Linked DNA regions of Diceros bicornis minor. The protein of the gene in region 1 purifies or fractionates together with the protein of each later gene. This does not show direct contact. Links are inferred from orthologs where the notes say so. Each region holds a gene or a part of one and is shown in the gene's direction. Other genes may lie near its edges. The genes, in order: TUBG1, CCT8, TIMM13 and BAG2.

The links.
Region 2: the proteins of TUBG1 (region 1) and CCT8 purify together in Homo sapiens (affinity purification with mass spectrometry; 3 studies listed by BioGRID and IntAct, with this or other methods). This does not show direct contact. The link is inferred for Diceros bicornis minor from reciprocal best matches to the Homo sapiens genes TUBG1 and CCT8.
Region 3: the proteins of TUBG1 (region 1) and TIMM13 purify together in Homo sapiens (affinity purification with mass spectrometry; 3 studies listed by BioGRID and IntAct, with this or other methods). This does not show direct contact. The link is inferred for Diceros bicornis minor from reciprocal best matches to the Homo sapiens genes TUBG1 and TIMM13.
Region 4: the proteins of TUBG1 (region 1) and BAG2 purify together in Homo sapiens (affinity purification with mass spectrometry; 3 studies listed by BioGRID and IntAct, with this or other methods). This does not show direct contact. The link is inferred for Diceros bicornis minor from reciprocal best matches to the Homo sapiens genes TUBG1 and BAG2.

What each region holds. Positions count from the first base shown.
Region 1 is NC_080757.1:41,682,208-41,689,224, forward strand, and holds the start of TUBG1 (tubulin gamma-1 chain), read left to right. Parts: upstream 1-4,004; 5' UTR 4,005-4,058; coding exon 4,059-4,107; intron 4,108-4,434; coding exon 4,435-4,547; intron 4,548-4,729; coding exon 4,730-4,897; intron 4,898-5,735; coding exon 5,736-5,804; intron 5,805-6,075; coding exon 6,076-6,155; intron 6,156-6,591; coding exon 6,592-6,718; intron 6,719-6,928; coding exon 6,929-7,015; intron 7,016-7,017. Other genes in the region: RETREG3 (reticulophagy regulator 3), read right to left, coding at 3,442-3,680. UniProt on the Homo sapiens protein: Tubulin is the major constituent of microtubules, protein filaments consisting of alpha- and beta-tubulin heterodimers. Gamma-tubulin is a key component of the gamma-tubulin ring complex (gTuRC) which mediates microtubule nucleation.
Region 2 is NC_080766.1:29,950,535-29,957,949, reverse strand, and holds the start of CCT8 (T-complex protein 1 subunit theta), read left to right. Parts: upstream 1-4,397; 5' UTR 4,398-4,443; coding exon 4,444-4,503; intron 4,504-6,974; coding exon 6,975-7,065; intron 7,066-7,415. UniProt on the Homo sapiens protein: Component of the chaperonin-containing T-complex (TRiC), a molecular chaperone complex that assists the folding of actin, tubulin and other proteins upon ATP hydrolysis.
Region 3 is NW_026691553.1:1,706,413-1,711,815, reverse strand, and holds TIMM13 (mitochondrial import inner membrane translocase subunit Tim13), read left to right. Parts: upstream 1-3,886; 5' UTR 3,887-3,932; coding exon 3,933-4,052; intron 4,053-4,140; coding exon 4,141-4,209; intron 4,210-4,443; coding exon 4,444-4,542; 3' UTR 4,543-4,901; downstream 4,902-5,403. Other genes in the region: LMNB2 (lamin-B2), read left to right, coding at 191-232; TMPRSS9 (transmembrane protease serine 9), read right to left, coding at 5,347-5,403. UniProt on the Homo sapiens protein: Mitochondrial intermembrane chaperone that participates in the import and insertion of some multi-pass transmembrane proteins into the mitochondrial inner membrane.
Region 4 is NC_080753.1:10,219,839-10,227,435, reverse strand, and holds the start of BAG2 (BAG family molecular chaperone regulator 2), read left to right. Parts: upstream 1-4,573; 5' UTR 4,574-4,643; coding exon 4,644-4,756; intron 4,757-7,597. UniProt on the Homo sapiens protein: Co-chaperone for HSP70 and HSC70 chaperone proteins. Acts as a nucleotide-exchange factor (NEF) promoting the release of ADP from the HSP70 and HSC70 proteins thereby triggering client/substrate protein release.

The sequences.
Region 1 (7,017 bases):
AAAAGCACCCAACCTTACAATTAGGACAGATAAAAAACTGTTGGCAAAAGAGAGGCAAAAAAAAGCAAGCCAAGGCATCCTTGGGAATCTTCTTGGCTACCAAAAGCAACAAGAACAATGATCAGAGACGTGTGCTCAATAGATTTCATCTGAAATTTGATGTGTAGATTTTTTTTCACAGAACACTAAGTCTCTACTTAAATGGGCCCTCCCTTCCTTTTCCTGTTCCTTTTTCATTTTCATTCAAATTCTAAACTTTCAAATAAGAATTTTTATATACCTTTAATCATTTCTCAGGTCATTTTATTGATTTGGGGAGATTTTTGCGGAGATGGGAGGGGAAACACCTTATTTTTTCCAATTGTGAAAACAACAGATTCCATAACATCCCCTAGAATATAGTATGGTTAACTCAGACTAGCGACTGTAAAAGCAGATCCCAACAGAGAATAATTTAAAGATCATCTAGAATCACAGAATGTTAAAAACTGGAAAGGAGCTTTGCAGTCATCTAGCCCTCCTTGAACCATATGCGCTTCATAGAAGGGCTTGGGGTTCACACACATTTCCAGGGCTCCTTTGTCCTCCCCTATCTCCTAGGTATGAGTCAAACCAAAAAGTTACCTGAACCTGTTCGTTTCTGATCCTGTGAGGATACACTCTCACTGACTCAGCTGTTCTTCCCCCAAATCACTCATTTATAGGTGGTGTTGAGGCTAATGAAAATATAAGCTATTGGAGAGAAACGCCTGACATTTCTGTTATTATCCTAGAGACAAGAACATATCAGTGAATAGAAGCAACATAGGTTGGAAGAACTCTGATATGATACCCATAATTCCTCTGGAACCTGAAAAAAAAGAGTGAAAACCTTGAAATACTACAGTGGCAAGGCATCTACATCTATCTTTGTCTTTTATGTTGTTGTTTTTTTAAGATGTAAGAGGGCACATTCACAGGTACAGTTGACTAAGAATACAGAACATGGAAAGTTAAGAGCTACCTACCTGAATTCTGATGATTTTTTTGTACTCCTATCCAATCTTCTAATACCTCAAAATATATAAAACACCTCAGTTAATGATTTATCATTATTCAAAACAAATAATGAAAGAAAAATAAAATATTTCAGATTTGATTTCTCTCAGACCTGAGCCAATGATCCTTCTATGTTTCCTAAACATTTAAAATGTCTGAGAACAAAACAGTCACTCTTTGACATTCCTAAGCGAAATGTCAACACCCATATTCAATATGATGCTACTGGAATGTGAAGTCTAACTTTCATTTTGAACTTCAAACTACCTCCCAAAGAAGCCCATTTCCTAAAACAAACAATCCCATGAACTCCAACGCCAAACCACCCTAGCCTCTGGGGCCTTACTTAACACTTCCAGTCATTCTGTGCCCTTCACAGGTGTAAGTCCTCTCCATAAATGGCATACCCAGTTGCTCTTTCAGTCTCAAGAGATGCACCCTTCATTTTGCTGTATCTCTCCCCACCTATTTCAAGTGTGATGGGAACATAACAAGAGTAACTGTGCTCTGGATACACAGCACGCAAGCTACCAGAAAATCCCAGAGATAAAGATCAATCACAACAATGCTTCCAGAGACCCAGAGTAGGAAAAGGAGATCTGAGTGAGATTCTAAACATAGCATATTAGTAAACTTAAGTAAACACTGTTGGGGGCCAGCAAATTAAAGCTAACTGTAACATTTAAAGATGTGTCTTATGCAGAGCTGCTCCTTGTGTGCAGACCTCAACCCCACATTCCACTTCAAAACTCTCTCTCAGGCAAGGGGCATGTGGAAAGTCCCCTCCTCAAAAATAACAACATACATGCTACTGATCCATTTGCATTAATAAAACTTTGGCTTATCAGGATTCATTTAAAAGAATTTTATATATCAGCCACTCACATCTTGATACAAACTGGTTTATTCAGGACCCACTTTTTTCCTAGGAGTACAATCCCAATGTAGGAAAGGAAGTTTTGACTGGATGGTCCAGGGTTAGGGGTTGGGATGGGGAGGTGGGAGGAAAGGAAGAAAAGGTCATTCTGGAAAACACTCCTGAACGAGGTGCTACAGTTAAGGGTTTCTGACAGAAAGCAACAGACCGGAAGTAGGTACCTGGGGATCAAAGAAGAAGCAATACCAAAAATAAATGAAGAATGCTGTAGAAAAAGTTTATCGTCAAGTTTGTTAAAGACTATGGAAGTCAGAGATGGCTGTGACACCTTTCACCTGAGTCTCCTTCAAACTGTGAGAGGATTAATTTAACAGCTAAACATTGTGTCTTCCTGCCAATGAACTTGGAATTATTGGGTTTGCTCCAGCTCACTAAAAATCTTCTTTCAGACAAAGAATAATAAACGTTTTGATTTTAAAACCAAGAATTTCAAGAGGAAAGCTATTTTTAGCAAAAAACAATTTTTTTTTTTTTTGCGAACTCATACTTTGTGCTGTTTCAGGCTTATCCAGAATAGCCTTATTTCATCCAGTTGTAGAAGCTCCCTATACTTCAGCTCCCTTGGAATTAGATCAATAATACTTCCCTAATTATGAATAAATCCAAACTATGCCTGGCAGATCCTATGAAGACCTAAGTCCACTCCAGGTAATGACAACTGAGAGAAGCAGGAGTTCATCTTCACAGAGCATGACACATCCAGATTCTGAAAGCATATTTATAGCCGCACTTTTCCAGCTCAGGAAAACTTACACACTATTAGACACCCTCAATTTCCTTGCCTATAAACTGCGGCTGGATGCCTCGCTAATTCCTTGCAACATGGAGGAGTTGCAATCATAGAGGCTTTGAAACGGGTGAAATCGCACAATCACTATTTCCTAACTGTTCTTCAAAAGCTTATAATTTTCTTCCAAGTTGCAGCTTTGGACGCGCTTAGTGACGCTCAGACTTCACAAACCTCCTAGAGTGGGAGAAAGAAAGATCTAACGCGCGAATTCAGATCGTTCAAGCTGGTTTTCCTATCACACCTCCGGATACCTTTTCAAGACCTACCGCCTGACGCGTGTACCCCAATAATAACTACTACAATCTGGAGACAGTCCTCACCACATTTGAGCAGACAAGAGAAGGGAGGCTATGGCCTTCAAGGCACACAGCTTTCCCTGGCTAAAATGAGGCGCCCTCGCGCACTGCGAGCGGCTCAAGACGTAACCAGAAGCTCTTGCCTGATGTGCGGGGCGAGGGTGCGGGAGCAGTAAAGCGGAGAAGACAACTGAAGACCTGGGGAGAACTGCGGTGCCGAAGCCTGCAGGCGGGAAGAAGTGGAAGGAGATGGGGCAAAATTAGGCAGGTACAGGAAGGAGCCAGCGCAGCGAAGAAAACAGAGGAGGCGAGAGGTAGAGCCCTAGAGAAACCTGACGAATTCCCGCCTCGGAGGGTTTCCAAGGGTCCAGTTCTCTCACCAGAAAGCCGCGTTCAGCCCCAGGCACCACAGGGCGCTCCTGGCGGGCCGCTCCCACACCAGGGCTGCCTGCACCCGGCTCAGCAGAGGCTCGTAAGGCCCCAGCACCTCCACCAGGGCCCGCTGCGCCGCCTCAACCTGCTGGTCCCGCTCCCAGGAGCCTGACATAGCGCGGCGGCCCGTGAACGTCGGGCCCAAACTTGGGCCTGGGGCCGCGTCCACCCCCTCTGCCTCCGCCATCGCCCCCCGGCAGCCACAACATCCGGGGCCGCGGCCCCACAGTCACAATAACACCAACTGCGCAGATGCGCGATTCGGCGGGGGAGGCTGCTTCCCTTCACAACGCGCCTGCGCACACACTCGAACGAGAGTCCATCCAGAGAACACTGCGTCAAAGCACGCCCCTGCGCCCAGCCCGATCAGGAGCCGCGCAAGCGCAGTCTGCATGACTGAAGCCAAATGAATAAGGAAGTGCCATCGCCAGAACTCAGTTCTCATTGGAGCGGAGAAAGTTCGTGGGCGGGGCGAGTTGTTTGGCGCCTGCGTCGTGCGGCGAGCGGGCTGGCTAGCGGCGGCTTTGCTGGCGGGAGAGGCTGCAACGCCGGTGCCTGAGGAGCGATGCCGAGGGAAATCATCACCCTACAGTTGGGCCAGTGCGGCAATCAGAGTGAGCAAACCTCCGGCCCCTCCACTAGCCAGGTTCCTCAGATTCTATGGGATCTCGCTGTGGGATCCTGGACTCCATCTGCCCTTCCCAGAATCGTAGTTCTCCGAAAGGCAGGACATGCCTGACCCAGTGTCCAGTTGCCCAACCCCGAGGGGCCCTCCCCTGCCCGGTCCTGGCATACAGCCCTTTCCTCTGACACGGGAGACTCCTGAGGCTTGACTTCCTGTCTCTATACCCAGGCGCTCAGTCCCCAAGCTCCTAGTTGGAACCTGCCCAGACCCAGGTATCCTCTTTCTCCCCCGTCCATCTCTCCCCCACCCCGCCCAGTTGGGTTCGAGTTCTGGAAACAGCTGTGCGCCGAGCATGGTATCAGCCCCGAAGGCATCGTGGAGGAGTTTGCCACCGAGGGCACTGACCGCAAGGACGTCTTTTTCTACCAGGTGCCCCCAGCGACTTGGCCAGGGGTCCTAAAGGGAAGGCAGCGGCCTGGTGCTGGGAAACCTGCTGGGCAGAGAAGCCAGGGCGGCTGGCTTGAGGAGGGAGGGCAGGGAGGAGGCAGAGCTGGGAGGACGGGGGCCTTGGCCTTAGCTGATTGGGCCCCCTCCTGGACTCCCCTTGACAGGCAGACGATGAGCACTACATCCCCAGGGCCGTGCTGCTGGACCTGGAGCCCCGGGTGATCCACTCCATCCTCAACTCCCCCTATGCCAAGCTCTACAACCCAGAGAACATCTACCTGTCAGAGCATGGAGGAGGGGCTGGCAACAACTGGGCCAGCGGATTCTCCCAGGTCATTCGCTATTCCCTGGCAGGACCCACAACACCCTTCCTGTGTTGGGACAGGCCCTATGACTTCCCAGAGAGAGATGAAACCAGATCAAGGATGTATGAGTGCTGGAGGGAGAGAGAGATGGCTTAAGGGAGTTCTGTTTTCTAAGTCAACTATGTAAAATTGTTAAGAGACTCCACTAGCTAGTGCTGTGTGCCAGGCCGTACTAAGAGCTTTACGTATATTAACTTATTTAAACCTCCCAGCAACTCAAGAGGTAGGTAGTACAGGTCCACAGTCTCTTATCTACCTTTCCAGAATCCAAAAAACTCTGAAACCAAAAGACAATTTATAACTCATTTAGCAACAAAACCCAATCTCAATGGAGACAGGCTATTTTATAGTTTCTATCCAATTTACTGTCATTTCTCATACCTTTCATCACAGAAATATTAATGTATTTGATTAGCACACCTCAGACTCCCACTGGCATTTTACTTAACATACATTATATGTACCATGTTACCTTTATAGAGTCTGAAAAATTTGAATTCTGAAACATAACTGGCCTTAAGGATTTTAGAGTGGACCTGTATTATTACCTTCATATACAGATGAGGGAACTGAGGTATAGAGAGATCACAACGTGCTCAGAGTCACCTCGGCTAAACATGAACCCAGGCCTTCTGGATGTAGAGTGCCTGCCCATAACCACTGTGCTATACTGCTTCTCAATGCAAATAAAAAGCAGGGCCACTGTGCTCTAAAAAAAGACTTTTAGGTGCTATAAGGAGAATCGAGAGTCAGAATCTTTGTCCCATGGTCCTGTCTTGCTCTGACCTTCCCCATATCTGTACAGGGAGAGAAGATCCACGAGGACATTTTTGACATCATAGACCGGGAGGCAGATGGCAGTGACAGTCTGGAGGTGTGTCTCAGGAATGGTAGTGGGAGCCGACATAGGGAAGCCTCAGCAACACCCTTTAGAAGCCACTTTTAGGAATAAGACCCACCCATGTATGCTTTGCACTGGACAGAAGCCTTGCTGGAAACAAGGCAGAGTCTCCCCAGCTGTATATGTTGGGAGGGAAGTGGAGGAGAGAACTTGGCAAGATAGGAGTCCAAGAAATTATGGGATGGGTCCAGTTTGAAATCCTGACACTAGATACCTAGACACTGACTGCCCCTTCCCCATGTAGGGCTTCGTGCTGTGTCACTCCATCGCTGGGGGGACAGGCTCTGGCCTGGGCTCCTACCTCTTAGAACGGCTGAATGACAGGTAAGTCTGTGTTTTGAGGGGCTAGGAGGACTTGGTTTCCCAAGTAACTTGGAGGCCCTCCAGATACACCTTGCTATTCACTGGAGCAGGAAAGGGCCCTTCTGTAGTGAGGAAAGTCAAGATAGAGTGACTGAGAACCCGATCACACTCCCAGGGGTTGAAACTGGAGCCTCGAATCTGGGCCCTAGATGAAGAGATGAAGGTTCAGGGAGTATGGGGTTTGGTGTTGGAACTCTAGATCCTAAGATGTCTTTCTGCCCTTCCCCCTTTGGGGTTACAGACTTCCAAAAGTCAGGTCTCCCTTCTCTACTGCTCCCCGGGGCCCCATACCAGTTTCCCCATCCAAAATCAGCTGCTTCCAGACAGTTGCTGGGAGCCCCGTGTTCACCAAGCCACCAGTCTGTTGCCCTGACCCTTTTCTCCCAACCCCCACTAGGTACCCCAAGAAGCTGGTGCAGACGTACTCAGTGTTTCCCAACCAGGACGAGATGAGCGACGTGGTGGTCCAGCCCTACAACTCGCTGCTCACACTCAAGAGGCTGACCCAGAACGCAGACTGTGTGGTGAGTCCTGGATTCTACCATTCCCCACCCCCACCCCCTGTCTCTTTCAACACTTTCAGCCCTCTTGGGCCCCAGTCCTGTGCAAGTCCCTTTTGGATGGGTCTTTCTGGCTGTGAGGCTCAAGGGAAATTAAGCTTCAGAACCCAGGCTCAGGCAGAGCTGCTGTTCTTTCTGTCTCCATAAATCTGTCACCCTCTTCTGTCCCCCGAGGTGGTGCTGGACAACACAGCCCTGAACCGGATCGCCACAGACCGCCTGCACATCCAGAACCCCTCCTTCTCCCAGATCAACCAGCTGGT
Region 2 (7,415 bases), on another chromosome or scaffold:
ATCATCTAGAGAGGATCCTCTTTGTCCCTAGAAAAAGTGTCAGGAATGACAACTGAAACCATCTATACCCACACAGCTTGCTGTCTACATTAGCATGACTTTGCTATTCCAGTGTCTTCATCAACATAACTTTATTCTAGGAAACACTGGCCCAGGAAGATAAAAGTTGCAAATAACTGTATTGCTCATTCCAGAAGCATCCTGAAAGATCCATCAACTGTTCAATAGAAAGCATCAAACGACAGTTTACACCTCAAGACTCTTTGAACCCATTGCCTCAAAATCCTTACCTTGCTATGCCCATCAATCGTATGTCATGATCGTTACTCAAACTTCCCAAGCTCCTACATTGAAAGACCTTCCTTAACTGGACTTCAAAAACTCATAAATATCCTAACTTTGCACACACACACACCCCCCAACTGAGATGCTACTAAGAATCTGACAAAGTAGTGCTCTCCCTGATTGCAGTAGAATAAACTCAGCTTTGTCTCATCAACATATTATCTTGGTGATATTTTAGGAAGCCAATATTCTATAGGTGTCAGGAAATAACAGAGGATAACCAAAGGGTGTGAGATCTCTTGCAACATGTGGCTGGAAAGGTGTTACTTCAGAAGAGTGGGCAGGAAGGGTAAGCATCCAAATGGTGGAATGGCAAGATAGGCCTCACTGAGAACAAGGAATCGTCACTAGAGTGAGCCCTCTGAGGATAGCCACAAGGAGAAACAGTGCCAAGGCACTGTAGGGGAACGGCTCTGCCAAGGTGCCATGGCAACTTTGCATGTTTCTACACACACCAAGCAGGCAGAGGCTTGCCCCGAGCTAATCTGAGTCTTGGCAGAATGCCTTGTGATCCTCCTGGAACACAAGAGGATAGGAGGCCTGTGAAGAGCTTCTCCCAGGCAATTTCTCTCTTACCTCCCTATGCCCCTTAGGAAGTTGTCATAGGAAGATGATGAGGCAGTTTCTCATCATCTCCAGTGTTCTGATGGGCTGTGGATCATCCTGCCCCAGCCCCCTGCAGTAGAGATGGGTAGAATATATAACTGATCAGCTACAGTCCAGAGTTAACTCCTCAGCAACTGGATACCCCACCACTTGCATTACAATCTCTTAGTTCCTCTTAGTTCAGTGTCATTCTTTTGATGTGCGGGACAATGACCTCAAGGAGCTGGGACCTTTGGCTAATCTTCCTCTCACTGTCAATGTAAGTAATAAACTGATTCTAAAAGTGGCTCCCTGTATCTTCACCAGCCAAATCAGTCAGGAGTTGGCCTTGACGTTGCCCAGTCTCACGTGTTCTTGACAGAAACTACATGAAGTTTTGGGATCAACATGGCAGTCTGAGGCCCAGTCTAACTCCCAACCTCACTCTCACCCCATAGATAAAAGGCTAGGAATGGGAGGTTTCCAGGGAAATTAAGACACAAAAATAACAATTACATTGGGAGACAGTACTTCTTTATACTCTTTTGGTTTTCCCCAATCCTCCTGGCTTCCCGCTTCACTCCTTACCCCTCCATTGGAGGGAGTTATCTGGTTTAATGGGTGACTGACACGGGGCCACCTTTCTTTCTGGACTTCAAAAATTATTATATGGAGTTAACCCTTTAAAAGTCTCTCTTCTTCTTTTCTGCTCCTCCACTCCAATTCAGTGTAAAGCAGCAATCACGGACAAGAATGTCTACACTTTCACACTAAGCCATATCCTCCAAAGTCCAGTGATACGTTGAATCCCAGCTGCCTGACTCGGATTTCACTTCGGTAATTGTTTCCAAACTCTGAGAGGGAATGGGGGTTTCCTTAAGCCCAAAGAAATTTGATTAAAACAGAAAAAAAAATTTTAATTTATAAAGGAAAATTAAGAGATTTTCACAAAAAAAAGAAATTGAAGTGAAATAATAAGCCAAGACAAAATGAGTCATAAAATCCAAAGCCAAAGGGAAAGAATTAAATTTTGATGGAAAAATAGTGAAAACTAAGATGATATAGTAACATGAAATAAATAATACAAATGCAGGGGAGGGAGAAAAGTCAGAAGAGAAAATATTTGATGGGAGTTGGTAAAATTAAATAAGAATACCAAAAAAATTAAAACACATATACAAGGCAAAAATATTAAAATAATTCTGAAGTACAGAGGTTAAAATTTTAGGCAAACAAAAGATAGAGAGAAAAATAGAAACAAAGTCACAGGAAACAAATGGTAACCTGAGTCCTTATCAGGGTCCTGAGTTGGCTTAGACATCTCCAGACCAAGAGTGTAGTTCCTCCTGAATGGGGAGCTGAGGGGGCAGACACTCCCAATCTTCGAGGCCTTAGCTCTCTCCTGGGTGCTGGAGGCCATGTTTTCAGTTGGCACCTAACATGAGGGCCCTGGGCTCTTGAATCAAAATAGCCGAAACCTACAGTCTCCTTGGGCTTCTGCAAACTCCTAGGCAACCCTTTTGATTGCTTTGTGACGTTCTCTGGTTTTACAGCACGTACATCTGGATGAGACAAATAGAGACCACACCTCGTGATTCTTTGGTCTCCTCTTCTAGATACCCATTTGGTCATCCATTCGTTCACTTGACAACTATTTATTGAGACTCTACTCCATGCCATGCCCAGTGATAGGTGCTGGCAATACAACACCTACCTACTGGTTGAGAAAGATATAAATAATTCTGTCATTACAACTGCAATAAGTGCTATGAAGGAGAAGCACAGAAGTTATGAGAATGACTAACAAGGAATGACTTGGGAGTCACTGAAGACTTTCTAAGGAAAAAGTTTATGTTGACTGAAGCAGATATAACTCAACCAAAAGGCGGTGAAAGCACACTCTAGGTAGAGAAAAGAGTAGAGGTGAAGCCCCTGATGCAGAGGCGGTAAAAGACAGGATGAACTATTCAGGCTATTGTGACCAGAAGACAGGAAGATACATGTGAGCTACCCAGGCACCAAAACCTAGGCCTTGAAGCCACATTCAGGATTATTGTTTCTTTTCTTTTCTGGGTGAGGAATATTTGACCAACTATTTGGATCCAGCGGAAATTTTGCTCTTGATGTTTTGATTCTATAATTATGAATGCACAGTTTAACCCAAATAATACAAAATTAACGAATTTTCATCTAAAAAACATTCTTCTTAGCAATTAAATCAATTTAATTTCTTGACAAATTATCATACAGAAGATTTTAATTGATTTCAATCCTTTCCTTTTCCTTTTTACTAAAATTAATGTAGGATCAATTTTTTATCACGAACTTTCCATGGAAATTTGATTCATCAATTGGTTTGTCCTCAAGTTTAATTTTCCATGGTCCTTATCAAGATTTGATTCCTTAGTTATTTTTAATTAATTAAATTTTATCAAGCGTCATTTTTAGCCCCTTTCAGTTTTATGGCACACTAAATCTGTCCCAATTTAAAGAAAATAAGTAATTTGCACTTGTCCAAGTCAAAGAACAAAAGTCAAGCCAAAACGTTCTGCTTTGGGTTTTCTGCATTTTCTGCAAGAAAAGTGGATTATTTTCATAATGTGAAATTACCCTTAAAAGTACTCTATTAGCATTCAGTCTTTTTGAAATCAGCCACGTGTTGACATGCGAAGACATATAGATCAGGTTTTAAAAGATCTGGGGAGAGTAAAAGGGATTTATATTTCCAGGAAAAAGCAGGAAAGAGGAATATACACAGTGACTAAGAACGTGCATTTTGCAGTCATTCTGATCTTGCTAGGAATCCTTGCTTTAACATTACTAGCGCTGTGATCCTGGACAAATTACCATTTGTAAACCTCAGTTTCCGCTTCTATCAAATGGAGATAATAGTAGTTAACTCGGAAGGCTGACCATTAGCTTAGGTCTTGCACGTAAAGCAAATAACACAGAGCCTGGCACATATGAGAACTCAGCATGTAGTTATCCTTACGGATTTTAAGTATTACCGTCCCGTCCCCAGCGCTTCCTACAGAGCCCCAGACAGACCAGACGCCCAGCCACAGATTTTTCCGGACGAGGGCAGACGCCCTGTCTCGGGAAAAAAGTGAACACCTGCCCCGATGTTGTGAGTGGGCTTGGAAAATAACTTGGAAATTAAATTTAGGAGGGAGGCGTGGCTTCTAGGTCAGAAATGGCAAAAACGTAACGTCGCGGCCACGGAGCCTCAACGGCTGACACTCTCGGCAACCAGCCACAATGGCCTGTGCCGCCTGCGCTTGCGTCGGCCCGATCGATCGACCTGATCGAGGATCGTCAACCCAGTCCTGGCTGCGGGAACTGCTCTTTCTCGCGAGGTTTCAGACCAGGAGGCTGAGGGAAAGGGCGGGCCCAGCTGAAGAGAGAGGCGGAGCGTGAGGCCGCGGCACGCTGCGTTCCCAGCAGGCCGTGCGTGCCCCTCGCTTCCTCCCGGATCCTCCGAGCGAGCGCGTGAGGGGCTCCTGCGTACTGGCCATGGCGCTTCACGTCCCCAAGGCCCCGGGCTTTGCCCAGATGCTCAAGGAAGGAGCGAAGGTGAGGAATGGAGGAAGGGAGGGGGAGGTGGCTGCCGCGAGAGAGCAGGGCCTACTAAAGGGCCGAGCGTGCTCCCCCGGCGCAGAGATCGGAGGAAGAGAAGGTTCCAGAAAGGGAGGTGTTCTCGGGAGGGCTCGGCCCCCGAGGCCTGCGGGCGTTTCCGTTCTTGTGCGACCCCGGGGGGAATCGAGGAGGCAGAGGCCGCGGGTGAGGGGCAAGGCCCCGGGATTCGCGTTTTGCACTGACTAGCTGGGGAAGCGTGAAGCCGCTTGTGCGTTTTCCCTCCATCCGTGAAACGGAACTGATGAGGCTCTCCTCCCTTAAAGGGTGTTGTGAGGGTGAAGGTGGATAACGGAGGTGAAATTGCTTTGGGAGCCGCGGGGCCGGTTGACACGCAGTTCGAGGATGGGGCGATCCGAGAGGAGAGGAACAAGGGCCAGGTCTTGGCAGCTTCCTTCCAAATGAGAAACAGAGGGGCTCCCTATTTAGTTCGCAGAAGTAGTGCGTTGTAGTAGGACAGACACTTACAACCCAAATGAGTTTTGGTCTCAATTTAAGGTTAAGTAGCTTGTAAGACTTACCCCCCAGGGTCTTACTTTCCTCATCTTTAAATTGAGATTGGACAAAAAGGTGGTACCTTTAAGTTGTACCTGTCCATCTGACCTGTGTAACCCATGGGTAAGTGACACCCTGGTCTAAGTAAGTAAAACTGCTTTGTTTTATGGCCAGATCTCGAACGTAATTTCAAGAGCGCGATTTTTAACAACCCCTTAAGTTTTAGGGAACCAGGTTTTTGTTGGCAGGATGCACTTTGGGATAACAGTATACTAAATAAATATCAGGGTTTAATGTAAATGTTGGTGGAACAAGTTTGCTGAAAGGGACATCGGTTGCTCACTTTTTTAAAAAGTCAGGCTGAGAACTCTTCGTAGTTTTTATTCTTCTGAGGCAGAAATAATAAATGAACAGATAAACAAGGATGATTTCAAATAATGATAAAGGAAACAAACAGTACTGTAGTAGAGAATGACAAGAAATAAGAAAGTCTGCCTCCAAAAAAAAGGTAAGGGTTTAGGGTAGATAAAACAATTAAATAAGATGTTCAGGGAAGAGTTCTTAGCTCAGTTTCTGGGTGACAGAAGGAACCAGCCAAGATTAAAGGGAGAAGTGTTCCGGGCTGAGGGACCAGTAAGTACAAAGACCCTGAAAATGGAATGAGTTTGACCTTTTTAAAGAAAACAGTGAGAAAGGTGATGGGCCTGAAGCTCACCAAGGGAGGGCAAGAATGGTAAGAAAAGAATATAGAGAAGCTGTAGGCAGTGGCCAAACATGTAGGGCCTTGTAACCCTGAGGCAGGATTTACATTTTATCCTGGGAGGGATGGTAAACTTCTGAAGAAGGGTTTGATGGGATCTAGTTGATGACCTGAGGGCTGCTCCTCAGGGGTGGGGGATGTAGGAGTGTAAGCCAGGGGATCACACTGAGTGCTCTTGTAAGAGTCCAACTCTTGTCGCTGAAGACACTGCTTCTAAAGTGGTTATTAACCTTGTTTGGATCACAGTCCCTTTAATGTATGTTATAAAAGCCGTGCCTTATACTCTAGAACAGTACTGTCTGATAGAACTTTCTGTGATGATGGAAATGTTGTGTATCTGTGCTGACCAATATGGTATCCACTAGCCACATGTAGCTACTGGGCACTTGAACTGTGGCTAGTGCAATTGAGGAACTGAATTTTTAATTTTAATTACTTGAAATTTGAATAGCCACGTGTGGCCAGTGGCTACTGTATTGGGCAAAGCAGCTCTAGAAAAACGTTCACATGAACACTAGGTTCATGAAACCTATCTAAGGCCACAAATAAATCCCAGCTCTAAAAAAAGCTCAGTGTAAAATTTGAGAATTTTAGTACTATGAGCGATTCAGCAGTTTTTCAATATGTACACGTTGGAATTGTTGCAGTTCAAAAGCCTGTATACTTTAGTCCCTAAATATTTTGGAGACAGATAGGTTAAGTGGGAATTCCCAATGAACATAGAACTGCTGGCTTTACAGTGCTCAGGCTCTAACACAATAAGAAAAATATTCATGCCACATTTCAAGTTTTAGTCAGAAAGTACTGGTAAACTCTGAAAAGGTATTTTTACCTGAAATAGCTCATATGCTTTCTCTAATCAGTCTTAGCACTCTTCCCTGCACTTTTCACTACATCAAAAAAAATTATAGGCGCTGCATTTTGATGTGTAAGTGGGTACCTGTGGTTCCTAAAAATGTCATGCTTTGTTCATTCAACTATTGAGCAAATTTATGGATCATTTATGAATACCAAGCACCATGCTTTACGTACATAACTCTTGCTTGATCGAGTCAACAATCCTGTGAGGGTAGGTACTATTATTATTACTCCCATTTTACAGATGAATAAATTCTTGTTTTCACTGTCCTGTCTAATCAGAAGTTTCCTTTTACAGCATTTTTCAGGACTAGAAGAGGCTGTGTACAGGAACATACAGGCTTGCAAGGAGCTTGCCCAGACAACTCGTACAGCATATGGACCAAATGGTAATTTATAAATTCATGTTTTAAAAGATACAGTAATAGAATTTTGTGTACTAGCTCTTTCAAACTTGTTCTGAGGGTATTATATATAAAGTGACAGTTTTAGCCATAATACAGTGTGGCTTTGAAAGTTATTTCATAGTTCAGTGACACTAGTATAGGGTTTCCAGTTTTTAATTGGCAACTCAGATCTCTTTAGAAAAATAGGAATCAAAATGTTACTTTTTATGCTGTTAAGAGGATAGAAAAATTATGGTGCTTTCATTATTGAGATAGTGCTTAATGTTCAGTGTGACAAATGGTGAACGGTTCTTTTACATAAAGTGACATTATAATTTAAGAGAGAAAATTCT
Region 3 (5,403 bases), on another chromosome or scaffold:
AACAGGGACGGTTGAGGCTGAAGCCGCTGGCCCTGTCATCTTGCCGGCAGCTAAGTTTCCTGAGGTGGCTCAGGCCCTGGGCCTGGTCCAGCCGGTGTCTGGCGGGGACAGGGGACCACCAGCTACCTGCCTAGCCAGGAGGGTGCGCCCCGCCTCCCCGCTCATTAACGGCTGCCGTCCTTCCTTCCAGGGGGACCCGAGGACCACCTCCCGAGGCTGCCGCGTGATGTGAACGAACACGCCTCATCCCACACCTTTCTTTACCCAGAGCCACTGAAAACTATTTTTATACCATTGGCGCTCTTTAGTCCTTGATACATTTCTAGAGAATTTTTAAGCAAACTGCCAGGCCGTCGGGGTGGGTCTCTGTCGATCTTTCCTGTGGGTTGGTTCCTCGGACCCTCCGCTCATCATCACTGTTCAGGAGAGTTTTTCTGGTGCCCCGTTTCACCATTTGGTTGAATTCCAGGCCCAGGAACCACATGGTTAGCAGAGTGGGCTTGGCGGCTGGAGGGTTGGGCTGACCTCTGGGGGCTGCCCACTGCCCCTGCCTCCACCACAGACCCCCCGGGGCTGGGGCGGGGAGGAGCTGCCCCTGGGGCCCTGAGGTGATGGAGAGCGGTGCTGCATAGGAATTCAATAGTAGTGGTTTGTTTTGTTTTTGTGTGAGGAAGATCAGCCCTGAGCTAACATCTGCCAATCATCCTCTTTTTGCTGAGGGAGACTGGCCCTGGGCTGACATCCGTGCCCATCTTCCTCCACTTTATATGGGACGCCGCCACAGCATGGCTTGACAAGCGGTGCTTCGGTGCGCGCCTGGGATCCGAACCGGCGAACCCTGGGCCGCCACAGCGGATCGTGCGCACTTAACCGCCTGCGCCACCCGGCCGGCCCCAGTAGTGGTTTGTTTTATTAAGCTTTTTTAAAACCAAATTCAGAATCCAGGTTCCGACCTGGTGGGGGGCAGGGGCGTACCCCCCTCGAGTTCTGGTGGCTCAACCAACCGGAAACGAGGTATTGGAGCGCTGAGGAATGGTGCGTTTGACCTCGACCCGGCCCTCCGGGGTGGGGGCAGTTCCCGCTGTGGCGGTGGGCAGCAGCGAGGTTTCTGCCCTCTTGGATCGGGGTGCTCTGGGCTGGGCCGCCTCCTGCCGTTTCTGGCTGCCTGACCCTTGCGTTTCTGGAGCTTTCTGTAGGTGAGGTCCTCACCCTGCGGGACCAGCGGGGCAGGAGAGAAGGAAGCCTAGGGGACGGGGACAGTTCCGTTCTAAGACTTGTCGCCAGGTAAATGGTGAGGGGACAAGTTTGATAACCTCAGAAGCAAGCGCCTCGGGGTTCAGAACCATGTCCACGTGTGCCAACCACTTCCCGCCCTCCTGGCAGGAGGAAGGTGACTTCACGGCAAGTCCCTGGGCCCCTCCCTGTTTCCCCACCCTGCCGTGTGCACGGGGCTGAGACTGGCCCCCGTTTCCCACGTAGATCCTCACGCGTTTGTTGACAGCCTAGCTTCTGTCTAACCTTGCTGATGTGCTGGCCCTGGGACACGCCCGTTGCCTCCTGCGGGCCGGCTCCACACCACGCAGCCGCCCTGGCCGCCGGCCACCCCTCCTGCGTTAGCCTCCCGTGTCCACCCTCCTGCTTAGATACACAGAAGTTATTTTTTTAATGGATATTTATTTTTTTACATTGGTCAGTACTCAGATTGCCAGGATCCCGCTCCAGGGGCTCATGCCAGGGTCACCAGGACAGTGCCCCGGGGTGGGCTGGCATCCAGGGGCCTGTCTCAGTGAGCTGAGCCCCCAGAGGGCAGACTCCTTCAGAAAGTGCAGCTCAAGTCTTACAGACGCAACCCTGAGCCATGAGGCGTGCTGCCTGGAAGGCGACGTGTACAGCGCAGCCGCACTGGCCCCTCGTGGGTCACGCTAGCCCTGGGCAGCACACTCGCCCCACCTGTACGTGTCTGGCTTTGCTTGGGAATTCCTAATGGCGAGGAGGGTTGGAGGCCGGGAAAGTGCCAGTGGCTGACAACACAAACACTGCTGCTGCTGCTGTATCTAGAACCTGCTAGAAGCCCCTTGCTTTCAGTCCGGATCTTTCTATGGTCTCCAGGCCATGGGCTGTGTTTTCTCTGTGGAGGGAAATGTGTCACCAAAACAACTCACGGAAAGTGCAGACACCCCCCATTTGTGGTGGCCTGCCCTGGCCATGCACCATCCTGCCCCGTGTGGGACCTCTCCTGGGAGTGCTTCCCAGGCCCCTGAGGCTGCAGGCTGCCTCCCCTTCCCGCCCTGGCTTAGTGGGAGCCCTGGCCTAGGGGGAGCCGTGTGGACAGTGTGTGGACGAGGCGCTGGGAGGGTGGGGCTTGCTGGCCCCCAGACACGCAGGAGTCTGCGCTGGTCTGGGCCACACTCCTCAGTGTATTTTGGGACTCTCTGGGGATCAAAGCTGTGTCCTGGAATTTGGGTCTGATTTGCTGTCTTTCCGGCTTGGTCCAGGGACAGGAAGGAAGGGAGCGGGCCCCACCCTCCCCACAGGCCCAGATGTCCCCCTAGTGCCTAGCAGAGCCCCTAGGCTCACAGATAGGGGCTGTTCTCCCCTTACCGCACCCCAGGTGGGCCTGGCTAAGGTCTTGGGTGGAAATGGGAGGTGGCCTGGGCAGCCACTGGGGTGCCCTTGGCTGTGGGGAGTAGGCTACACTGGACTGCGTGTGTGGCCAGGTGGTGACTGGAGGTTGGTGATTTGGTGGTGGTTGGTAATCAAGTATTTGGAAACATGGAGCAGAAGCCAATGTTAAAATGTCGCTGTGGCCTGGGAAACAGTTTGCACCAGCCCTGAAACATGCTTAGCTTTAAGCCACTTAAAATGATGCGGAAATGATTCTTTTGTCTGCGCCCCTATCATGTGACTCCAGGCAGCACCCTTCCTAGAGGAAAACCGGACTCCGGCTCAGCCCTGGCAAGGTGGGAGGCCTGCCTGTGGGCATGCAGGGATGGGGAGGCCGCCCCGGGCCTACACTAAGGGCTCTTCACCTGGACTTGCTCTCTCAGCTCCTTTGCTAACAACGAGGCCTCCGACTCGGGTGGTTGGCAGCGCACGTAGACCGGGAGTTCTATTTATAGTAGCACAGCCCAGACGAGACTGACATTCCTCAAGGAGGGCAAAGCCACTCGGAAGGTCTTAAGTCCGTGCCCCCAAGGGCATCTCGCTAGCGGAGTCGGGTCAACAGCTGCGCCGTCTGGACTTCATTTCAGAGATTGGTTGGTTTTTACGATGCATGCCAAACGTGTGGTCTTTATTTCTCCGATGATTTGTAATATACATTTTATGACTGGAAACCTTTTGTACAACACTCAATAAACATTTTGGTTTTAAGTTCTGCCTCTGAGTGTACTCTGACGCGGGGCTGCCGGAGCCCCTAATGAGGCGGGGGTCTAAGACCTACCCACCCACTGAGAGAAAAAAATCTCAGTGGCGAGTGTAGACAGACCCCACTCCTTAACTCCCTGGCGGTACCCGCCACCCGTGTTTTCTGCGTTCGTTTTCTACCGGCGCCGCGGACGCCGCGTTGTGCTTTTGGCCGCATGACACGCCGTGACTCTTCCCGGCTCCGCCCCGGGCAGAACGCGCAGTGTAGACGCGCCCTCTGCCCCTTGCGCATGCGCGGCAGGGCGAGCCGGGGGCGGAACCTGAACGCTCCCAGTCCCCGCTCAGCCTCTTCGCCCCTCGGGAAACAGGCTTCCGCCGGTAACAGCCGGCTCCCGCCCGCGCGGCCTTGTGGGAACTGTAGTCCCGGCCGTCTCTCCCCCCCCCCCCCGCCGGTCTCCGTCCTGGCACGGCTGGACTCCATTTCCCGTGGTGCCCCCGGGCGGCCGACTTCCGGCGCGGGTACGGGTCGGCGCACGCGGCCGCGGTCCGGTTGACTTTGCGGAGCCATGGAGGGCGGCTTCGGCTCGGACTTCGCGGGCTCCGGCGGCGGCAAGCTGGACCCGGGGCTCATCATGGAGCAGGTGAAGGTGCAGATCGCCGTGGCCAACGCGCAGGAGCTGCTGCAGGTCCGGGGCCAAGGCCGGGGGCGGTGGCCGGGGGCGGCGGGGGTCCGGTGGGGCGGCGTCGCGGCTGAGGGCTCGCGTGTCCCCACAGAGGATGACTGACAAGTGCTTCCGGAAGTGCATCGGGAAGCCGGGGGGCTCCCTGGACAATTCGGAGCAGGTGAGACCCGTGGGCAGGCGGGCGGGGGCCGTGGGCCGGTACCTTGGACCCTGGACCCGGCGGGGTGGCCTCTGCGCGTGCGCGGACTAGCGGCGTGGCCTCTGCGCGTGCGCGGACTAGCAGGGCGGCTTCTGCGCGTGCGCGGACTCGAGGGGCGGTGCGGAGGGAAGGCTCTGCGCGTGCGCAATCCGCTGCCCCGGGCCCGAGCTGAGCCGCGCTCCTTCCCGCCTGCAGAAGTGCATCGCCATGTGCATGGACCGCTACATGGACGCCTGGAACACCGTGTCCCGCGCCTACAACTCGCGGCTGCAGCGGGAGCGAGCCAACATGTGACCGGGCCGCCCACAGGCGCCCCCTCCCCGTCTGTTTTCATAAATGCCCTTTGCTGGGCGGGGCCAGCGTGTGCGGACTGCCTACCCGTGGTTTATGAGGTTTCCGAGGACGATACCCGTGCTGGGACGCTGGGGACTCTGCCCCCTCCGCCGCCCACCCCCACCTGCCAGCGCGCGCAGCTCGGGTCTCCGGGGGGCCTTGGGACTTCCCAAAGTGCTGGCACCGCTCCTAGTGTGCCCAGGTCAACCTCGTGCCCGCACACAGAATCCGTGTTGGGACCCGGGAGGGCGTGATCAGACCCCACCTGAGCTGTGACCTCCCGGGGCTGACAAATAAATTGCCGAGGGGGGCGGAGAGCACCCTGTGCGTCTTCCCTGCAGGGGTATCTTGGAAGACGGTGCCTCGGGCACCTGGGTCCCCCACCCCCATCTTTTCTCCCTGGTGCTCCTGGGTTCCTGGGTGGCGGGGAATGTGTTGACACCCAAGGGGCCTCAGAGATGAGGCTGACCTCGCCCAGCCCCAAAGGCCAGGGGAGTGGCCCTCCCCCTGCCACCCTTCGTCCCACTTCTGGGCCCCGGGCGATGGGCAGGCACATGGTCCTTGCTGCGACATGGAGCTGCGGAGCCAGCAGGTTGGGGATAAGGGCTGTGTTTATTGGAACAAAATATGCAGTAACACTGCATCGTGTTACACGCTGCTCCCCCACCCCTGTGACCACCTGGCCTCCCCTCCTCAGGCCAAGCGGCCAGCTGGCTCCTGCTGCCTTTACATCCCTCGTCCCAGGCCTGGGCAGCCACGTGGTGGTCACTCCTGGATGTTCTGCCCGATCCAGCCTCTCACGGCAGCCACCCGGGTGTAGAC
Region 4 (7,597 bases), on another chromosome or scaffold:
CTTAACACATTAAGCTCATTTATAATATAATTCAGTTTGAGATTATATCCAGATTCTCATTTTTAAAATACGCAAATTTTATGATGGAGAAACTGCCAAGTTATCCTAAGTTTCTCCAGTTTGTATTTCCTTTCCTTCTTGAAAAGACAGATGTAGTTGATGAGACTTACATAAAGCACATGTTAATTAGTTTTCTGCCCTAAATATTAAAATTCTCTGTTTTTTAATGCAGATGTGGAATTAGAAGAAGCTATTAGAAGAAGTCTTGAGGAAATGTAATTAAAGATATTACTGTACAACGTCAAGTGACCTTGAAGAGACTCAGGATAATGAATTCTTGAGTTTGTTTTCTAAAGGAGACCAGAAATCTACTAGTACAAATGTATTTGCAAACATGCTTTTTTGCTTTTACATGTTGAAAATATATTTGCTTTGTATTTTTGTGCTATTTTGCAAAAATGTACAGAGGAATAAAATACATGTTAATGCAAATATAAATCATGTATTCTGTGTCACAGTTTCCCAGTTAACATTGAATTCGTATATTTAGATTAAAAGAATTTAAAAAAAATAGAAAAGCTCTTGACTATTGTTTATATGTTTCCCGAATGGCAGTAGTTCTTTAATTTTGTTTGTACTGTACAGATGATTCTGTTTTATTTTTTTAGGAGTGAAAATGAATATAAATAAAGCTGTCATACCCCAGTTTTTCTGTCAATGCCACTTATCGTGGCACTAATAATATATAATATTTCTGAGATCTTTGTCTATGATGATTAGAAGAAAGTAATGGAAACTGATCATGAAACAGATTAAAAATTTTACCAGCAGAGTTCTTGGTGGATTTCACTCAGATGTATAGTCCTGCTTTAATTAGAGCAGCACATTGCTGGAATAAAAAAAAAAAAACAACAAAACCCTAACTTCTTTGAAATTATTAAAAAGAAACCTTTTCCATTCCTTTTACCTGCTTAGACTTTTATGTGACTTGTATTATCTACTGTTGAAAGAGAATCGTGAAAATATTTGCATAGAGTTAAACTTATTTTTAATAATGTTGGTCCTTTTTTATATATATTTGTGTAAATGTAATATTCTTCAAAAAATAATGTAGACAGTCTACTCAGGAGTAATCTTCCTTAACCCTTTACAATTTTTATTTCATATGGAAGTATCTTCACTTTAGTTATTCATTAAATTATCAGTTTCCTACATTTAGTGTTACATATGTAATTTTTAAAAGTTGAGGCCCCCATTGTGACTAATAAAAAATATCACATAATTAGAAGACTAAGAAGGGCTTGTCAAACTATTTTTGTGTATATGTTTCATGTTATTTGACCAGAAATGTCATCCCTAAAATTTTGAGTGGTAATTACTTACCAAACTTAAAATTTTCTATAAATATAAGTTTTTCTTTAAGACAAAAAAAATCATGGCTAGAATTTTGTTTTCTCTGCAACTAGATATTTTAGTGTGAAATAGCATTACTGTTTTTTTATTACTATAGTCTTTTTCAGTTCACATTAGAAACCATTTTGTGTTTTTATTTCTTAAGATGTCAGTTCTGTACTACCTGCTTGCATTTTTTTTAAGTAGACCTCACGCTTTGAGAATTTACCAGTCATTTTTCCGAAATGACCACATTGTACCTTTAATTTGTATGTTAAAGTGGTCAAGCAAGGCTTTAGGAGGTAGTCACTAAGCCAGACCTTCAAGACATCTGCAGAAGCTTCCTCAGCAGTGAGGAGCAGAAAGGACGTTCCAGAAAGAAGAGTGCTTAAGCAGATGTAGGGAAGAGGAAACAACACGTCTTTGCCAGAGGTGCCACACATAGGTGTGATGTACACTGACATTCTATTAAGCTTTTGTAGTGTAGAGAGTAACTGAAGCTTTTCATTTGACAGGAAAGGAATATTTCATCGTGACCTTTAAAAAAACGTAATTGGGTTGTTTACTGTTTTACTTAATAATTGTCACTGATTGTATTTCTACTTGTTAAGCAATTAAAAATCATTTTTAAATTACTTCATAATTTGAACTTAATTTAGACACAAGGGGGAGAGGTAATCAGAGGATATTACAGAAAGTTATATGGATTATTAAATTATCAAAGTAAATGTTTTGAACATTGACAAAGGTGCTTATCTTTTTGTTACTTCATTCATTCATTTATTTATTCATTCACTCACAAAGTATTTACTATTTACCATGTGCCAACGACTGTGTAAGCACTTGAGATATACCAGGCCCGTACTCCTCTATGGAGCATACACGTGGCGGGGGAGTGGGGTGTGTGTGCGTGCGGAGATAGAATGATAGAAAAGAAGCAAGTATATCTGATAGTGATAAGTGTAATGAAGGAAAATAGGGAAGGGAAAGATAAATAGTGCTATTTTTAATACGGTGGTCAGAAAGGATGACCAGGTGAACTTGAGCAAAGACCTAAAGAAGGTGAGGGGTGAGCCATACAAATATGTATGGGGAAGAGAATTCCAGGTAGAGGGTGAAAAGGTCTAGAAGTGAGCTTGATCTGTTCATGGAAAAGCAAGAAGGCTAGTATGCCTGAGCAGGATGAATTAGGAGGTTAACAGGAGAAGTCCTTGAGGACTTTCTGAGGACCTAGGTTGGCTTTTACTCTGAAATGAGGAGTCTGAAGGTTTCTGAGAATAAGTCGTGTGATCTGCCTTATCTAGGAGGATACTGTAGTCACTGTACTGAGAACATACATGAGAGGCAACAGTAGAAGCATTAAGACCAGATAGGAGGGTAGTGAAGTAAGCCAGGTGAGAATTGATGGGGGCTGGGACCGGAGTGGTGGCACTAGAATTGGAGAGAAGAATCTGGATGTAGTCTGAAGGTAGAGCTGACAGGATTTACTTATGGATTGGATCTAGGATATGAGAGACAGAGAGTCCAGGATGATTCCAAAATTACTTGATAGACTTTCAAACCATTGACAAAATGTCTTTGGATTCCGAGTTTGCTTCGTGATATGACAAAATATGTTTGATGAGGTCAAATAATCCCCTACACCAATAGTTTATTAGTATTTAGATTGAGTTCAGAGCTGTTGACAGAGGAAAAATTCACTGAATTCAAACAGCAGATATTTATTTGGGCAATTAGAATTGCAATTTAGGGAGCACAGATCCAGGTAGAAACCCAAATAGTGTCCCGATTACAGGAGAGGCACTTGGGTTTTATAGGGAAAAGGGAGGAAGATGAGGTAAGTTGTATTAAGGAACAATTTATTAGTGCTAGATGAGGTAAGGCTAGGTTTGTACTTCATAATTGGTTAGCCATTTGGTCATCAGCAAAGTCCAATTTCATCAGTCCCTACAAACGCGATATTCTTGTCCTTACTGACTTCTTGGAATGTTGGCAGTTTGGTCCAGTTTGGAAGCTAAAACAAGACTGCAAGGCAATTCCTCTGAAATGGCTGCTCTGGCTCTATTTTAATATGGCTCCACTCATGTCATCTTTCACAGAGGGAATCAGTATCCAGGCTTAAGGGCCTCATCTCTGTTCAAGCATATAAATAACTTGGATCTCAGATTAAAGGTTGTGATTCACCTTAAACCATTATTATGTATCATTTTATGTGCCTTGTACATGCTCATCCTCGCAGTATGAGGCATGTAGTTATAATGAGATGGGAGCAAAGCACAAGTTTTTAAGTAGATAATCTTTGTACTCCCAGCCGTTTTCCACTTCTGCTGACCTTTATGGTGTCTGACCTAGTGGCCTACTGCATCTTTTCATTCTTAACAGATTTAAATAAATTGGGTGTGAAATGGCCTTAATACCAATTATTTCACTCAAATGCCAACAGGAATAATTTCTTAATAGGAAAAGTCAAAAATCCCTTCAGCAGAATAGGTGGAAATAAGGGAAATTCACCTTGCTTCCTACTACATCCAGATAGAGCAAGATGGGGTAGTTTTTCCTTTTTTCCTCTATAAGCTTCAGTGGGGTGGTGTCCAGGTTTCATTCTTCTCATCTCAGGAATGTGACGAACAGGACAGGTCAGGCGAGTTTAGACCGCCTAGGAGCGGTCCTCAAATGCCACCTGTTCCACAAAGGGACCTCTTCTCCCCACATCACAGGACTTGAACGTTTCTGTCTGCTGTGAATTACTGGTGCCGGGAGAAACCGTGGGAAGGCGTCTCTGAGTAACACACCCACCCTAGCGTTGGCACCTTCGCGCGGGGGGAGCTGGTGGCATCAGAGGGCCGCGGCCTCACGGGGCAGGGATGGGGGGTGTTCCGTGGGTCTCCGCATCGGTTTGTTGTGCCAGGGCCGGAGAGAAGGATCCGGCGACACGCTGGGTCCTCCCCTTTGTGCGCCCGTCCCGCCAGGTGGCTCGGAGGCCCCCTGGCTTCGCTCCTCAGGCCCCGGGCCCTGGCGGCCCACCCCGAGCCCCCCTGGCCGGCGAGCTGCCCCGGCCCCGCGGCCGGCGCGCCTGCCCTTGTTTGGCCACGCGGCGGCGGCGGAGTCGGCGCGTCCTCGGGCCGCCCCCCGCGGGCGTCAGAGGGGCGGGCGCCCCGCGCGGTGACGGCGACGCCTGCGGCCGCCGAGCTCGCCACTCGCGCCGCCGGGGAGCCCGGTGACCTCTCGGCCGCCCCGCCTCGGAGGCTCAGATGGCTCAGGCGAAGATCAACGCGAAAGCCAACGAGGGGCGCTTCTGCCGCTCCTCCTCCATGGCCGACCGCTCCAGCCGCCTGCTGGAGAGCCTGGACCAGCTGGAGCTCAGGTGAGCGGCGGCCCGGGCCGCGCCCGGCGTGGGGGTCCCGGCGGCTGGGCGGCTTGACACGTGCTGTCGGTGGAGACGGGGCGCTCTGCGCGGCGCGGCTCGGCTCAGAGCGCGCTCGGTTTAAGCCACACCTGCGCGCGCGTTCCTGTGGCCACGCTCTCGGGCAGGACGTGAGCGTTTGGGGGCCGAGAACAATCAGAAGATGCAAGTTCTGGTGACGTTGGTTCGGATTAGGGACTGTGACACTCCAGGTCTCCAGAACTTCTAGAACCTTCTGTGTGCCGGTATATGGTCTTCCCAGATGTTTTTAACTTACTCTTTTCCTATTAGGCATTTTTAAGAGAGGCAGCAGCTTAGTGGTCCCTGATGTGAATGATCCGTTTCTTTGCTCCAGAACACTTAAGAGCAAAAATTAAAAATCCAGGAATCCATCTGATGGCAAGGATTAGAGAGGAGGAGGGCAAACGAGGGGCTGCGGGGGGACGGCAGCTGGGTGCTTTGTGGAAGGAAGACCCTGCAGCTTCCGTGTCGCCTAACCCCGCATGCGGTGCCCAGCCCTTCCGTTAGCCTCACGGTGGATTGTGCGCCTCCGTCCACAGGAGACTCTGTGCCGCCACCTTCTTGAAAGTGCCAGTCACTGGCCTGAAAGCACAAGATAGTCACAGGTCCCCCCCCCAACTCATTAAGATTTTATTAAGTAATTAATATAGTCGTAGGCTTGTATAGCATTTCTAAATAATGTATGATAAATTTTGGAAACACTGTTCCTTTTACAGGGTGTGGAAACTTTTATGTACTTTCTGTAAACATTTGTCACTAAAGTTGTGTAAATGTGTGCAGGTGTTGTTAAATGAAAATCTTATTAAGGCACCCACAATCCCCTGAAACTGCACAGAATTTTTTTCCATAGTTTTTACCGGCTTCTGGGTGAGCAAAGGAGTGTGTAAACCAACAATTTCAAAAAGCAATGCATATATGCCTTTATCCCCCTCAATTAGTGTACCAGAACAAGAAGAGGTGTCTATTTGCCAGGAAAGAGCATTAATAACCACAGTATATCTCAGCAAATGAGGCATTTATTATTATCATTACCCGGAGGAAAGAGTCAGAAAATGAGAAATTCTCCCTCCACAATGATTTCATGGATGGCAACAGATAGAGAAACCAGAGCCAAAACCACGTTCTGGGGTTCTGCTCAGAATGAGACACATGGAACAGCAGCAGAGAATTGCTTCCCCGTGGTTGAGCCTGCTGCATTCCACCCCCAGAAGAAGCAGGAGCAGAACTAGAGGTCCTGCCCTCAGCTGCTTAACTTCCCTCTGATAATATTTCCCTTTCTGTAGCAGCGTAAGAGGTAACTCACACGTCTCCCCCAGGGCACGTCTCCCCCAGGGCTTTACAACTTTGAGGGCATGTTCTCCACCAATTCAGGAGTCTCTCTCCTCTCAGCAGAAAAAAAGGATTTTTTTCTTAAAGGAATGAGGAGGATGTTGCCCCTCCTTCCTTCAAGCTGAGTCATTGTCCTCAAACTTGGATTAATTTCTCACATGTGGTAGGTACAAAAACAGTCAAGTGCTCACTCATCTTGAAAAGAAAGCCTCTGGTTTTGAGTATTTATTATAGTCTAGTGTTCGACTAATGTAAAATGAATTCTGATTATTGTGTACAAGTGATTAAATTATAATTTGCTTAACTAACCCTTGACCTGAGGAGTATCAACCTACAAAAACAAAACCCAGTTTACGAGGCAAAGCATTTATTTGGGATCGAAGAATTGCAATTCTGGTAGCACGGGTCCAGGTAGAAACCCAAATAGTGTCCTGATTACAGGAGAGGGGCTCAGGGCTTTTATGGGAAAAGGGAGGAGGACAGGTGCGTTGTATTAAGGAAGAGTTCACTGATGCTGGATGAGGGAAGGCTAGGATTGTACTTCAGAGGTTGGCTCGAGATTCGGTCATCAGGCAGAAGGCTAGACTTGTGCTTCGTTGATTGGTTAGTGATTCGGTCATTGGCAAAGTCCAGTTTCATCAGTCCCTACAAACGGGATATTCTGGTCCACACTGACTTCTTGCAATGTTGGCGGTGTGGTCCAGTTTGGAAGACGAAGAAAACAAGACCGGTGCCAGGCAATTTCTCTGAAATGGCTGCTCTGCCTCCATTTTAATATGGCTCCACTCACGTCGTCTTCCACATTAGGAAGGCCTGATCAATATGTGTCTAATTGGTCATTTTAAGGACTTTTCTAGTAATTTTAGACTTTTGTAAGCTTTGTTTCTTCCTTTAAAAAAAGTAATACTGACTGGAAACTAAGGAAGTGTTTCAGAAGGCAAGCAAAAATAGAGAAAAGGCTAATGCTGATCCATTCAAGTCTGTTTGAAACCACGGGGGCAGTGGTCCAGAGCGCTACACTGTTCAAGACTAGAGTCAGGCCTAGAACATCAGTATTTAAAAGAAAACATGATATTTGTCTGTAATTTTGCTCTAATAGTTTAACTTCATGTTACGGACGGCTGATCACGCCGCATACGGGGTAGAGTCAGCCGGTGCAGTTGGCACTTAGAGGCTTGCATTTACTGCTCCCCAGCCACACTAGTTTTGTCAGCTGTGGTGAAAACTTCTTCCATATGAAACTGAAAACAGAATTATGCTAAATGCTTTATGACCTGGCCTGTGAACTGGTGTACCTGATGTTTAAAATGCTTTAAAATGTTTGGCAGCATTCTACAGATCGTTAAAGAAATTCCATTTGTTTCTAAACTTGACGACACTAGCCTTTCTTTTTTGACTCCAACCCATCTCCCTTTTTGCTTCCTCCTAAAAAGGCGATCCTTCCTCTCCTGG